Linked DNA regions of Cricetulus griseus. The protein of the gene in region 1 interacts with the protein of each later gene in a biochemical or structural test. Links are inferred from orthologs where the notes say so. Each region holds a gene or a part of one and is shown on either strand. Other genes may lie near its edges.

Region 1 (7,775 bases):
TTCGGTTGCAAGGTAGCAAGTTTGGCCAAATTTGTGAGGGGGTGGGGAAGGGAGAGGGAGAAGGGATTGACATGTGAAGCAAGCTTGTTCCTAATTTGAACAACAACAACAACAAAAATAAAGGATTGCAAAGTCAAGGGCAGAATTCTCTAAATAGGTAATCACAGTCCAAGTTTTTAATAATTTTATTGTGCATTTAAATAGACCCAGTGTTATTATTATTGTATCAATATAAGTGGCTGTGAGTACTAAAATTATCATTGCTTATAGTTATGGTGAATTATTTCAGAAATTAGGTGGTAAAGAAACTCAGAATATTTGTACTTTTCTATGAAAAAAAGTAAAATATAATATCTGATCATCAACTTAACACTGTATTAAAAATTACACAGCCAAAAAAAAAAAAAAAAAAGGGCTGGAGAGATAGCTCAGAAGTTAAGAGCACTATCTGCTCTTCCAGAGGTCCTGAGTTCAATTCCCAGCAACCACATGGTGGTTCCCAACCATCTGTTATGAGATCTGGTGCCCTCTGCTGATGTGCAGATATACCTGGAAGCAGAATGTTATATACATAATAAATAAATAAATAAAATCTTAAAAAATCCTCTAAAAATTTTGTGAGCATCATATCCAGTGAGAGATTCTGTCTCAAAAACTTAAGTGGAGAGAGAGGACAACTTGTGTGGACCTCTGTTTTGTTTTTTGTTTTGTATGCGCACATATATAAACACACCCGTGAAAACACACCACAATGTATACACAATAAAATGAATAACATTAAAAATCCCATTAAATAATTTAACTTTTGTGTCTGGCCCCTTTAACTGTCTAGCATACACAGCCCATTGAAAGGAAGAAAGAGGGACTTGGTGAAACTTGAACGTTTAACCCTTGAGATAATGTCTGATCCAAAATACTGAGAAAAATTACACAACCCTGCTGGTACTTTCTGGGTGACTGATGGTTGTTCCTCACGGGGATTTGCAGACATAGCCCTGAAAGACTGTCTGGGTCTTGGTGGCCACGACACCGCAAAGAGCCTCACCTTAGGAAGCAGGGAACCACGGTTCCAGTTTCTGCCCCACTACTGAAAAGCCATTTGGAATTAGCGGGAAGGGAATCGCGGCTGTGTGACATATCTCTTGGAGACTATTTTTGATTATTTCTAAATAAGAAGTTTGGAGCCATTCTACCTCTGGCGTTCTGTGAGTCGTCAAAGTTGTGTCATTTTTAAACCTTCTCTCATGAGAACAATGATTTGGCTGGCTGGTCTGGAGTTAGAAGAATGTCCGTATTGTGGTACACACATGTCACTCCATCTAGGAGACTGAGGCAAGAGCCTCATGAGTTAGAGGGCAGCCTGAATTATGCATGGGACCCTGTTCTAAATGAGTAAATAAATGAGAGTTAAGAGCCATTTTCTTGGAGATATGCTCTTGCTACTTAGCTCCGGCTGTCTCTGAACTCACTATGTAGCCTCGGCTACTCAAATTCATGATCATTCTGCTCCAGTCCTCCCAGTCCTGAAATGACAGGCCTGAGAGTCAAGTCTTTTTCATATTGTCACATCACCGTTGTGACTGTGATTCTTTTTCTTGCCCAGATAGAAGATGATTGCTTTTCACCAGCAGTGTTGGCAGCCTGGAACAAGAGTTCTCTTCCCTTGGTGTTAAAGAGAAAGTGTTGCCCATAGGCTTCTATTTGTATTGATCTTCAGGCAGGGGAACTTGTCCCTGGGGCTTGCCTACTGCCTCTGTGTTCACTTTGTGGACCAGGGTTTTCAGTTGTATGCCCCCAGAGGTAAGGGTTGAAACAATTAGCTTCTTTCGCGCTGGTGCCTAAAGCAGTCAGAGCGCATGCCTTTGAATAAAATGACCCTTTCCTTACATTTCTACCCGAGCCACTAGGTGTCGCCTTCATCTCAGAGAAAGTGTGTTGGTCCTCAGCCTGCAGTCACTCCCTCTCTGCTGGGGAGCTTCTAGCTTCTTGGCACTGTGAATTCTGGAGAAGAGGCTCCAAGGGGGAGAGAAATTGGCTGTCAGCACGGAGGAGAATGTGTTTATGTGCATGTCCTTTATGACAATTTGAGAACTCCCCAAGGTCCCATAGGAGTCCCCTCAGCAATGATGTCATCCCTCACAAGCTGTTCCTCCAGATGGGGTCAGCACTCCAGATGTGGGGTACCTGGGTGAACTTTCTAGTCAGGAATCTTAGGAATGGGGTGGAAAACAAGGTGGGGTACAATGGGCCTTCATTGCTGGGGTCTGTTAGGCTTAGTCAATCTATACACTTCTGTCAAGTGTGGCTCAGGGAGACAAAAGGACGAGGCCCTGGAACAGATGGCTGGTGAATCCAATAGGCGTGAAAGTACGGCCATGGAGACAGAAACAGAGTGGGGAGTCGAGTCCTCGGTAAGAGGAAGACTTCATAAAGACTCTAGAAGAATGTAGAGGTGCCACAAGGGCCTGCCTGTCTTTCGGCTGCCTGAGGAAGAGGTCCCCAGCGTTTAGGAGATTGGTAGAGATTTCCCTACCTAGGAATAGATAAACGGATACCCAATGCTTGGGGATTCCTGACAGCTTCCTGGAGACTGGAGCGTCTGGGGAAATTTGGTTGAGCGAATGGACCCCAAGAAAAGCGGGGTGTCCATCCGGACAGGGAGAAGACAGGCCCAGGGGTCCCCGGCACGCGTGAGGTGGAAGCAGCCCTGCGGACAAGGGACTTGGGGGACTCCCGGGAACCTCGGTGGCCTAGAGGCCCGGGTGCGAAGCCCTCGGGGCGCTCACCGAGTGGTTTGGGGCCTGGGAGGTCCCTGGGCGCCGGGCAGGGGTGGGGGGGAGGCAGCAGCAGCCGGAAGGTGGGGCCGGGCGGGGAAGGGAGGGGAGAGGGAGGGCGGGGTCGGGCGGCCTGCCGGGGAAGTCACACTCGGCCGCCGCCGCGGGCGCAGGGAGCGGAGACGCGCCGGGCCGAGGCGACCTGACCTGGACGAGCGGCGCGCGCGGGGGCCCAGGCGGGGGGCGGGAGGCAGCGCGGGACGCCGGGCCGGGAGAAGCGGAGCCGAGCGAGAGGAGCTGGGGACACGGGCGGGGCCGCCGCAGCTCCGGATGGGACCAGCGCCCGGGCCCGTTAGTCCAGGCAGGAGCTTCGGGAGAAGCCGTCACTGGGAGAGTCACCCCGGCCTTTCTCTGCCCTCTGGCCCAGGCCTCGCTTCGCTCCCTGCCTGCCCATGTCCCAATCCTTCCGCGGCGGGCGCCCTCCCACCTCAGCCCGGGGCTCCAGCTTTTCTCAGCTCTTTGCCCTCCCGGCCCGGTCAGCTGTGAGGTGCCCCCAGGCCGTTTCTTTGTACCAGCCTCCCCCAAGTCCCCACCCCATCCCAGGCTTAGATCCCCCCCTTCTCGGCTTGGGATTGTCAGGCCACTTCACCCCTCACTGTCCTCATCCCGGTCGCAGGCCCCCTTGGTCCCTCCCTCCTTCTGCCACCCTACCCTTAGTCCATGGTCCTTGCTGTAGGCTGGTAGCCCACTCCTTCCCGGCCCAGGCTTCCCCCCACCCCCTTCTTGCGTGGTCCCCAACTCTTTCTGTATCCGAGTCGACTAAGCTTGTCCCCACTTCTCTTCTCGGCCCTCTTCCCCAGGCTCCAGGCTGGGTGGTGCTTGTGCCTGCCCAGTAGGCCAGAGCGGCCCCTGGTTCGGGGGGCCGTGGGTCAGCTGCGCTATCCCCATGGCACTGCCATCACTGTTGCTGGTGGTGGCAGCCCTGGCAGGTGGGGTGCGTCCTCCGGGGGCGCGGAACCTGACGCTGGCGGTGGTGCTGCCAGAACACAACCTGAGCTATGCCTGGGCCTGGCCCCGGGTGGGTCCTGCCGTGGCACTGGCTGTGGAGGCACTGGGCCGGGCATTGCCCGTGGACCTGCGGTTTGTCAGCTCCGAACTAGACGGCGCCTGCTCTGAGTACCTGGCACCACTGCGCGCTGTGGACCTCAAGCTGTACCATGACCCCGACCTTCTGTTGGGCCCCGGTTGTGTGTACCCTGCTGCCTCTGTGGCTCGGTTTGCCTCACACTGGCACCTTCCCCTCCTGACTGCGGGTGCAGTGGCCTCTGGTTTTGCAGCTAAGAATGAGCATTATCGTACCCTGGTTCGCACTGGCCCCTCTGCTCCCAAGCTGGGTGAGTTTGTAGTGACATTGCACGGGCACTTCAATTGGACTGCTCGAGCTGCCTTGCTGTATCTGGATGCTCGAACAGATGACCGGCCCCACTACTTCACCATCGAGGGCGTCTTTGAGGCCCTGCAGGGCAGCAACCTCAGTGTGCAGCACCAGGTGTATGCCCGAGAGCCAGGTGGCCCTGAGCAAGCCACTCACTTCATCAGAGCCAACGGGCGCAGTAAGTGTGGCCCCCGGGCTGTTTTAGGAACTGGGGAGGAGGGCCAATGTGTCCCTGGAGCACAGCACAGAAAAGTAGAGAGAGATAGGCACGGACAAGTCATGTGTAATGGTTGGGATGGAGGAACTTACGAAAACAGAGCACCTGGGAGAGGGCCTGGGTTTGGACAGAGCCTTAGTATCATAGGTACAGATCGGCAAGGCTGGGACTTGGGGAGTGAAGAGTTTGGGGAAGCAATGTGGGTGCTTTGAGTAGTGGATATGGGTGATATCTGCTCTGAAATGTGCACCTGTTTGTGAGCAGAGACTCCTTAGACTGGTGCACCAAGGTATCCTTGTAGCACAGAGATGACTCCGTGGGTTTGGGGCTCTGCAGACTTGGTTGGGAAAGCAGACAAAGCTCACACAAAAATTGTGAGCACAGTGCCTGTGAGCCACGGGAGAGGCAGGTGGGAGAGGAACGTGGGGAGCTGTGAGATGGAGCTCTGGGGAAAGGAGTCACCACTCCGTTCTCTGAGGTCTGGAGTCGGGCTCTGACTTTTGCCAGATGGTCCATGTGGCCCAAGGGCACTTTATGACATGAGCTCCAAGGGGGAGGATGGGAACATCTGTTGGGTGGTCGATAGGTAGGGCACTCTCTTGTAATGGGATGATACAGAACGGGGGCTGGTGGGGGACCTGGGCGTTGTCTCAGAGTGCCCTTCTGTCATGTGCACTCCCAGTTGTGTATATCTGCGGCCCTCTGGAGATGCTGCACGAGATCCTGCTTCAGGCCCAGAGGGAGAACCTGACCAATGGGGACTATGTCTTCTTTTACCTTGATGTCTTTGGGGAGAGTCTCCGAGCAGGCCCCACACGTGCAACAGGCCGGCCATGGCAGGACAATCGAACTCAGGAACAGGCCCAGGCCCTCAGAGAGGCCTTTCAGGTATCTTTGGAACCCAAACCAGAAATGGGGAGAGGCACTGGTTGGAAGGTCTTTCTCTCACAAGACCACAGAAGCTCAGGAACAGGGCAGGACTTGGGAGCTATGGAAGGGAAGTGATCAGAAAGTTTCTATGCCTGGTGTCACTCTTTTTTACCAGGGTATGTGACTGTCACTTAGTGTGCATGCCAAGGCTGACTGCCCCCTCCAGATCTTAGGGTGCTTTCCTGAGTGCCAGCAGTGAGCCAAAATGCAGGAAGCAAATGATCTGAGCCTTGCCTTATGGGAGAGGCAAGGTGAAATTATAGCACAGTAAGTGAGGACACAAATTTGGGCATGAAGCAGATATCAGGATCAGTGATTAAGGGATGAAGGGTAGATATGGGCTGGGATGAGGAAAGTCTTTAAAGGAATTTAGACTGTTGTAATTTTCATGGCAGAAGCCATGTTCACGGAGTGGTGGGATAAGGATCTAGAAGCCCATGCAAGGGAAAGGTAAGAGTTTACATGTTTGGCCTGGTAAGAAAGGAGGGTTCACTTAAAAAAAATGTTTTTGAGACAGGGTTTCACTCATGCCTTGAGCTGGCAGCCCCAGCCTTCCCACTGGGATCTCAGACATGGACTTCAAAAAAAAAAAAAAAAAGTCCACTTAAAGCACTCCTAGGAAATAAGTGACAAAGACAGATTAAAAGGGTGTTGGCCGTTAAGGAATAGGATTTGAGTTTTTATTTATTTATTTTGGTTTTTCAAGACAGGTTTTCTCTGTGGCTTTGGAGCCTTTCCTGGAACTTGCTCTGTAGACCAGGCTGGTCTCAAACTCACAGAGATCTGCCTGCTTCTGCCTCCCAAGTGCTGGGATTAAAGGTGTGTGCCACCAACGCCCAACTGGATTTGAGTTTTTGTATGACAGTAAAGTATAACATAGTCCAGGTTGTGTTAGAAGAGGAGATGGACTGTAGGCTGTCAGGGAATGAGGAGATATGGCTTGAAGCAGGACTATGCTAGGAAGAATGGAAAGAGATGAATTTATAAAAGAACTCGTGGAGAAAGTCGGTGTTGCCATGCATTTCCCACTTCTGCCCCAAACTTTCAACAGCCTGCTCCCTACAGAATAAAATCCCAACTCCTAACCATGACACTTAAGCCCTGGTAGCTTGCTCTCTGCTATCGTTGCAGAAGTCCAGCTGACCCACCCCTTGCCAGCCCAGGCTCCCTAACCTCCTGCCTCTGCGTGATTTGCTCCTTTTGTCTGCATCTTGTTTTTCTCCTTCCCTCGTTCTGAACCTTCTTCCTGAGATCATGGTCATGAGTCTCTGTCTGGTTCCCTCACCAGTTCTTACTGATTTGTGTATATAAGTGTTTCCTATTTATTTATCCATAGCCCTCAAAGAGTATTTGAGGTGGCTTATGGAATGACCTTAAGATCCTTTCCACTGAGATTCTTTGGTTCTAAGCAGAGTATACAAGGGCTGGGCCTGGGTGGCCATTCTTCTCCAGTGAGTAAGTTTTATGTGGCTGTGATTATATATTTGGTTGTGACTGGTGAGCACTCACTGTGAATGACATATCTGTTTGCATGCCTGCCTATGAGTCTGTGACTGTCATACTTGAACATGGGCAGTGATAGGACAGCTTTTGTTTATGTTGTAACTTTTTCCAAAAACAACCATCTCACCTGTGTCTATATAATGATTCCATGTTCTGTAATTCTCAGAGCAGTATTTTGCCTACTAAGGAACGATTCCTAAATCCCAGCTTGAGCTGAGTTTCTTACTCAGCCCACTATAGAGCACATTACTTAGTTCATGTTCGAGTCCCTTAGAGACCAGTTAGTTCATTGCTAGTATTCCCTGAATGTCACCTAACTCAGTACTGGTATGCAATACAGAACATACTAGGACTACTCTCTGTCTTTTTGGAGTTTACAATTAGTAGGCACGACAGACAAGAAACAAGCCTATTCATTGTTGATAAGGGTTACCAGAAGAAGAAAAACAGTTGAGTGGCATGAGAAGAAAAGGGACTGAACCTTGGCTAGTTCAGAAAAGGCTGGTCTACACCTTCCCTGGATCCTTACTCTATAGTCCTCTGGGTATGAATTTTTTTTGTTTTGTTTTTTCCTTTGAGTTCTGGTGTTTAAACTAGGGCCTTATGTACGCTAGACAAGTGCTCCATCACTGCACTACATCATCATTCTCCAGTTGTAGTCTTTGTGCGAGAGGAAAACCTTTTCCTTGTATGAGAATTACCAGCAGCCAAGAGACCCCAGGACTTAGAGTAGAGGAATAAAGGTCTAGTCAGCTAACAGCTATATCAGTTAATTAATTCTTGGTTCCTACCCTCACTGTAGGCCTCGTTCAGACAGGAAAAAAAGAAAGGATTTTGTTACGACTTAAGATAAAGGAAACAGGCAGGGAAGGATAAGCCGAAGGGAGACCAAGGCTTGGGGTGGGTGGGAGTGAGG
Region 2 (6,011 bases), about 340 Mb from region 1:
TGTCTGTTTCAAGTGTGATGTTCCTGGGGCCCAGAGGCAAAGTGTCTGTTGAGGCCTTGGCCACACCCGAGTCTCTGTCAATAGTATAATCAAAACCTATAACCATCAGCGACAGTCATTATGATGGTGCTTGGAGCCAAAGTCAACCTCTGAGTGGAGACATGGTCACAGGCTTGGGAGTTTTTATCAGTAGAAGAACGAGCCTTGTATTCTTCCTTAAGAACAGGTGCTCTCACTGGTCAGTCCCATCAGAAGACTGCATGGTTTGGAAATGTGACCTCTCTGCCCTTTCACTGGGCATGGGGTAGAGAAGGCTACCGGTTGTTCATTTATGCCAAGAGAACTTGTAGGAGGCTGCTGACCTTCCCTGGTCAAAGGGGGTGCAGAAGCCTTAAATGTCTCGATTTTCCATCCTTAGCGTTTCTCACCACCCTGTGCCCACAGATGCCCAAGACTAAACCCAAGGCATCTTCAGGGAAGCTCATCCCAGGCACTAACTCTAAAGTCCATTCTTCAGACTTCATCTCTTAGGTATTCACACAGTACAGAGCAAAAGGCATCACAATGGCAGCATCAAGGCTTGCCGGTAGGTACCAGAATCACCTCTCTCCCTGAATGAAAGAGAGCAGAGATTCCCAACAGCCTGCAGAATGGGGGTGAAGTAATGCGGCCTGCTCAAGACTGGGTACAGAGAGGAGAGGGCTAGTTGAGGTCTAGAGCCGGGGCGCTGTGTGGAGCTGCTGAACTGGGGCGTGTGTTTCTCTGGTCATTGACCAATATTTCAAGATCCTTTCTGGGTATGGTGTGGGTTCCCGAGGGTCTGTCCCTTAAGTTAATATGGGACCCAAACACGTTCATAACGTGCTGTTCTTCTGGGAAGGTCTCTCATGCTGTGAAGAAGGTTCCTGCTACCCCCTATTCCCTATGGGGAAAGACTGGCCACTGGCCTCTGGGTTGGGGAGAGCAGCCTCTCCACCCCTGGGGTGAGACAGACAGGGTATGGGGCAAACAATGGCAGCTGGTGAGTAGGAGCCAAAGCTAGGAAGCAGTAGGGGCCTGCTTGCTCCGTCCTTTCACATGCTCAGGGATGGAGAGAGGGAGGAGATTCAGAAGGGTCTTTGTAGTAAGTCACAGAGTAGCCTCAGGTGGGCATGTTGGTAAGATGAAAGTTTCCATGCTGAGTGGAGGGATGGGGACAGGGTTGGTAAAAACCTCATTTAGGATACACTGAGTTTGAGGTTAGCGCAAGAAATAAGACTTAGCTTGTTCCTTTGCCTCTCTTGAAACAGGGTCACAAGCCCCAAGGTTCCTCTCGGAAGCCCCAGGGCTGCAGCATCAGGACCCTGGATAGACCAGTTTGCCCACAGTTGGGTTTAGAGCAGGGGTAAGATTCAGAATGCCCGAGGCAGAATGGTGTCTTGCTGCTGCCCACAGAGGCTCTTCTCTCCACTGTGAGGAGCAGGCATAGCTGCATGCCGGCCTCACTTCAGGGACATTGGGCTCAGAAAGGTGTCCTGGCACTTGACGTTCTGGCTGTCTGCAGAGCTGCAGATAAACTTACTCCGGGCTGGTGGAACACCTTTCCCTTTTTTTTTTTTTTCCAGGGTCTCTCTAACAATTTCCCAGTTGGCTGAGTTGGGGCTAACATTGCTAGCTAGTCTGTAGTTCAGGGTGGGGTTGGGGACTGCGTCTACATAAGCCTGTTTATGCCTTTCTAGAGGAAGCCAGATGGGGTCCTCTAAGCTGAACCCGATCTTTGACCTTGCCCATATACTCTGACCACTTCATTTTCTTAATCTGTAAAATGGAATAAGTGAGGTAGCAGACAAATGTTTAGCTTACACTTGATCCCATGTCCGGATTGGTTGGGGGAAGGCCACAGAACACAAGGAGGAAACCAAACAGCCTAAGCTAGATGGTAGTAGGGCTAGGTTCTCCCTGGTGCAGAGCGAGGCGATCTGGAAGAGTCCCATGGTGTTACTCACCGCCGCCAGGGGTCGCTGCACTAACATCCCAGACCGCTCATGGAGCCGATCCGGTCCAGCTTGAGGCCAAAGCAGCCTTTGGACAAGCCCTTCTTGTTGCCGCCTTTGTATTTGCGCGCGTTGGGGTGCTCGTGCAGAAGGCGGGCCCAAGCAGCCCGGGACTTGGTGTCCACACGCAGGTCCCGGAGCAGTCGCGATCGGTCTCCCTTGAGATTGGCGCCCCCGCCGCCTGGAGTCTTGTCACCCTTTTTCTGATTGCCACCAGCTGCCTGGGGCTCCGCTAGCTCCTCCCCAGGAGGGGTTCGCGGGACCTGTCGGAGAAAAAGAGTGGGCAGGTGAAAGAGTGCACGGATGTAACGCAGGTGACTTTTGCTGGCTCCAGAGTGGCGTGACCCTCCCCAGCCGTGAGCGCGCCCCCACGGTTGCGGGAGAGCTGAGTCCGGCATCCACCTGCCACGCAGCCCTTGCTCCTGCTCCTTGAGGGGGGGGGGGAGCTTGCCCTTTCTGTGCCGCTTGTCCTGCTGGGCACATTAGGGCACGGGAGATGTGCATGGCATTCTCCTGAAGCTGAGGAATGATTCAGAGAAGTCCTAGCTTTGAGGGCACAAGTCCGAGGGATCTGCCTTTCCGGGCTCTCTGCTCCCTCCTGCGCGCCGCATCCTCTCACGCCCCTCACAAGTCCAGCTTCCCGCAACAGTACTCACCTTCGGTGGCGTCCCGGGCTTGGCTTCGGAGGACCGGAGTGAGAGTAGCGTGAGCAGCAGGGCACAGGCGATCAGCTGGGAGAGGTGCATGGTGCCGATGGGGCCGAGGGGTACAGACGGTCTGCAGCCCGGACGGCCGGTGAGCAGTCCGACAGGCGGATGCGGAGCAGGCTGGCTAGGCGAGCGCAGGTCCCACTGCTGCACGGCGCCGGCTGGGTGCGCTCTGAGTCCGTGGCTCGGTTGGTGCCTTTATAATCCAACCTGCCGCTGATGTCATCTTCCCGCCCACCCGGCCGCCAGGGCCAATGGCACAGCGCACGCGGCCGAATCGACGGCCAGGAGGGGGGCGCGGGGGCTCCCCCTTCTGCTCCCACCCACATCCCACCTCCAAAGGATCCCGCGGCTCGGCCGACCGGCTGCGCTCAGAGCCACAAAGCGGCGCGCACAAGGGAACTCCATTTGTAGAATGCCCTCGCTCTGGGCTTCTAGGCGTCCAGCGCGCTGTGTACCGGCTGGGTCGTCACTGCGCGCACTGTTCCTGGTATGCATCTGTACTAGTCTTGCAGGTGCAAAGGCTTAGAAGAAATGTCCCTTATGCAAAATTACGCAGGTAGAAAGTTGGTGCAGACCGAAATCCAAGTAGATTGCCCTGTTTCCAAACTCTTCATTAACGCCTGACACGTGCTAGCCAGGGTGGAAGGGCTGACCTCCTCCACACAAGGCCCTTGCACTGGGGTCGAAGAGGATGGAGTCTAGAGATTCCCAGTGGGAGAGCTTGTCGGGTGTAGCTGTAAAGGGAGATGTAAGCCTCCAGTACCAACCAGTACTCACCAGTGCAAGGATGTCATCAATCCATGTGTATGAGCCAGGAATTCGTGTGTGTGTGTGTGTGTGTGTGTGTGTGTGTGTGTGTGTGTGTGTGTGTGGGCGATGGAGAGGCGTTAGGAGGCTAGGAGGCAGGTGGACTTCCTTCAATGGTGTACTGACTCTGCCTGCAGGTGGGGATGTCCACTTTAGTGTCCTGGACACCATAAGAAACTATAGGCAGCACTGGGGTTTGCCCAGCTCCAAGCCTCAACAGGCCATCATGGCCATTGAGTTTGGGGCTGTGGAGAATTGCCTGCTGGCTATGGACACCAGACTGCTGCACACAATTTCTCTCCTTGGCCTGGAATCTTGATCCCTCAGACTCAGGGGAGCCCTGTAACGTAGCAGCCTCCAGAGAGCTTGTAGTCTCAAAATTTGAGTGATGGGCAGGAGTTTGTGTCCTTTGTGCGGAACAGGACTCAAGCTTGAGAGAGGAAAAGGAACATTCACAGGGATCTGCCTTTCCGGGTGCCTGTGGTCTCTAGAAGGGAAGAACCCTGAGGAGGGATTTGGGAGGCAGGAGCCAGAGTTAGTGTTTTACAGAAAGATGGAGGTGGAGGGCAGTGGGAAGACTGCTGGGCGACCATAGGTCTGGAGAACAAATGTTCTGGAAGGTACAGAGGAAGCAAGGGCATAGTGTTTGCCTTGTTCTTCCTTGTCCGTTCCCAACATGGCACCCCAAAGTCCCCAAATGAGGACCACAAGCTCCGTCCAGCCTTTCGTTTAGGAAAAGACTCACGGTGAAACCTGATTTGGGTTAGTATGTATCTATATACTAGATAGACATATCTATCACCTGGAGAAAGATCTAGACATCAGCTTCAAGTCCTTTCAGTCCTGGAAGATTGGCTGCCCACCTCCATGCTCCTCCCACACATGGCCTTTTGATGTTAATACTTATGAAATGACAGCCCAACTGCATTTGAGAAGGGAAGAGAAGCAAGGAAGGCGAGGGTGACACCCTCACTCCCGTGTGGAACTACATCCTACACTCCACTCTCCATCTCATCAAGGGAAATTTTTAAAAATTGTGTGTGTGTGTGTGTGTGTGTGTGTGTGTGTGTGTGTAGGCATATGTGTACTCTTGTGCACATGTGGAGGTCAGAGGACAACTTTCAGGAGTCAGTTCTCTTCTTCCATCCTGAGGAAGCCTGGGGATGGAACTCAGGCTTCCAAGAGGCAAGTATCTTTACACTATAAGCCGTTTCACTGACCCTGCAAGTGACTCTTTTGATGACCTGTGGCTCTTGAGCTGTGGTCATTTACGGTAGACCCTTGATGAGTTAACTTTGGGCTAGGCTTCCCTGTAGCCTCCATTGCTACTACTGTTGCAGGAACTGGGTGGACAGGCAGCTAGTCTGCAGGGTCTTTGGGGCAGGGTGGTGATGAGTACATAAGTGCTTACAGACCAAAGGTTTCATGCTCCTCATGGCTTCTCTTCTGGGCCTAGATTTGGGATCTTAGCTCCCTTTCTCTGGGAAATCCACTTTTCCTTCCTTCGACTCCAGGGACTTGGTGGAGGTGAGGGAGCAGTGGGGTCGACCACTGAGCAGCTGAAATGAATTCCTCAGGTATAGTACTGGCTCCTCAGTGTTAAAAATTTCCCCAGGGGCTGGAGAGATGACTCAGCAGTTAGGGCCATGTATTGCTCTTGCAGACAACCTGAGGTTGGTCCCTAGCACATGGTTGAGGGGGGAACCTCACAACCACTTGTAACTCTAGCTCCAGGGAACCCAATGCCTTCTTTTGACCTCTGCGGGCAACCGTGCTCATGTGCACATACCCGCACACAGACACAGACTTGTACACATAATTGATGATTAAAAAAAGCTCCCAATAAACAAAAGTCCTCAATTCCTCTTGACTCAAAGGAGGGAGGAAAGACCCTTGGGGCTCAAGGGGGGTTAGCAGTGTTGTAGGGCATCTGATCATTTGTCATTCATGACTGTCTCAAATACCTTCATGGCTGCCCTTTGGCCTGCTCCATAGTCACTGAGTTGCATCCCAGCAAAGAAGGTGACACAAAACAGACACTGGCTTTATCAGCTGGGAAACATGGTGCTGGAGATGAGGCCGTGTCAAGAGGGCTTCTTTCTCAATCTCAGCCAACAGGTCAGGGTTCCCAGAGAAAAAGTCAGAACTGAGCATGCCACACAGGGAGAAAATGGAGGTAGAGTGACCTCCTTGGGTTAACTGGAGGACTAGGGCTTAGGAGCATTGTCTAAGAAACAAACAAACAACAAAACCCAACCAAATGAGAAGCTTGAAAGGACAACCCTATGACGCCGAGACAGACAGAAAGCCAACGGTGGTGAAGAAGCCAAGAGCAAGGGAGGGTAGAAGGCTTGGAGTAGGGCACTCAGTGGAAACAGACCCAGAAGAGAGGCAGCTCTGGGGTTCAAAGTAGTAACTGTGCAAGATGTGACAGAGGGTTTTCTCCACAGTCACTGTGTAC

What was found.
Region 2: the proteins of Npr2 (region 1) and Nppc form a complex in vitro, tested with the Homo sapiens proteins (3 studies listed by BioGRID). The link is inferred for Cricetulus griseus from reciprocal best matches to the Homo sapiens genes NPR2 and NPPC.

The regions. Positions count from the first base shown.
Region 1 is NC_048595.1:99,893,586-99,901,360, reverse strand, and holds the start of Npr2 (atrial natriuretic peptide receptor 2), read left to right. Parts: upstream 1-2,945; 5' UTR 2,946-3,720; coding exon 3,721-4,387; intron 4,388-5,108; coding exon 5,109-5,314; intron 5,315-7,775. UniProt on the Homo sapiens protein: Receptor for the C-type natriuretic peptide NPPC/CNP hormone. Has guanylate cyclase activity upon binding of its ligand. May play a role in the regulation of skeletal growth.
Region 2 is NC_048595.1:438,340,851-438,346,861, forward strand, and holds Nppc (C-type natriuretic peptide), read right to left. Parts: upstream 2,780-6,011; coding exon 2,690-2,779; intron 2,297-2,689; coding exon 2,006-2,296; downstream 1-2,005.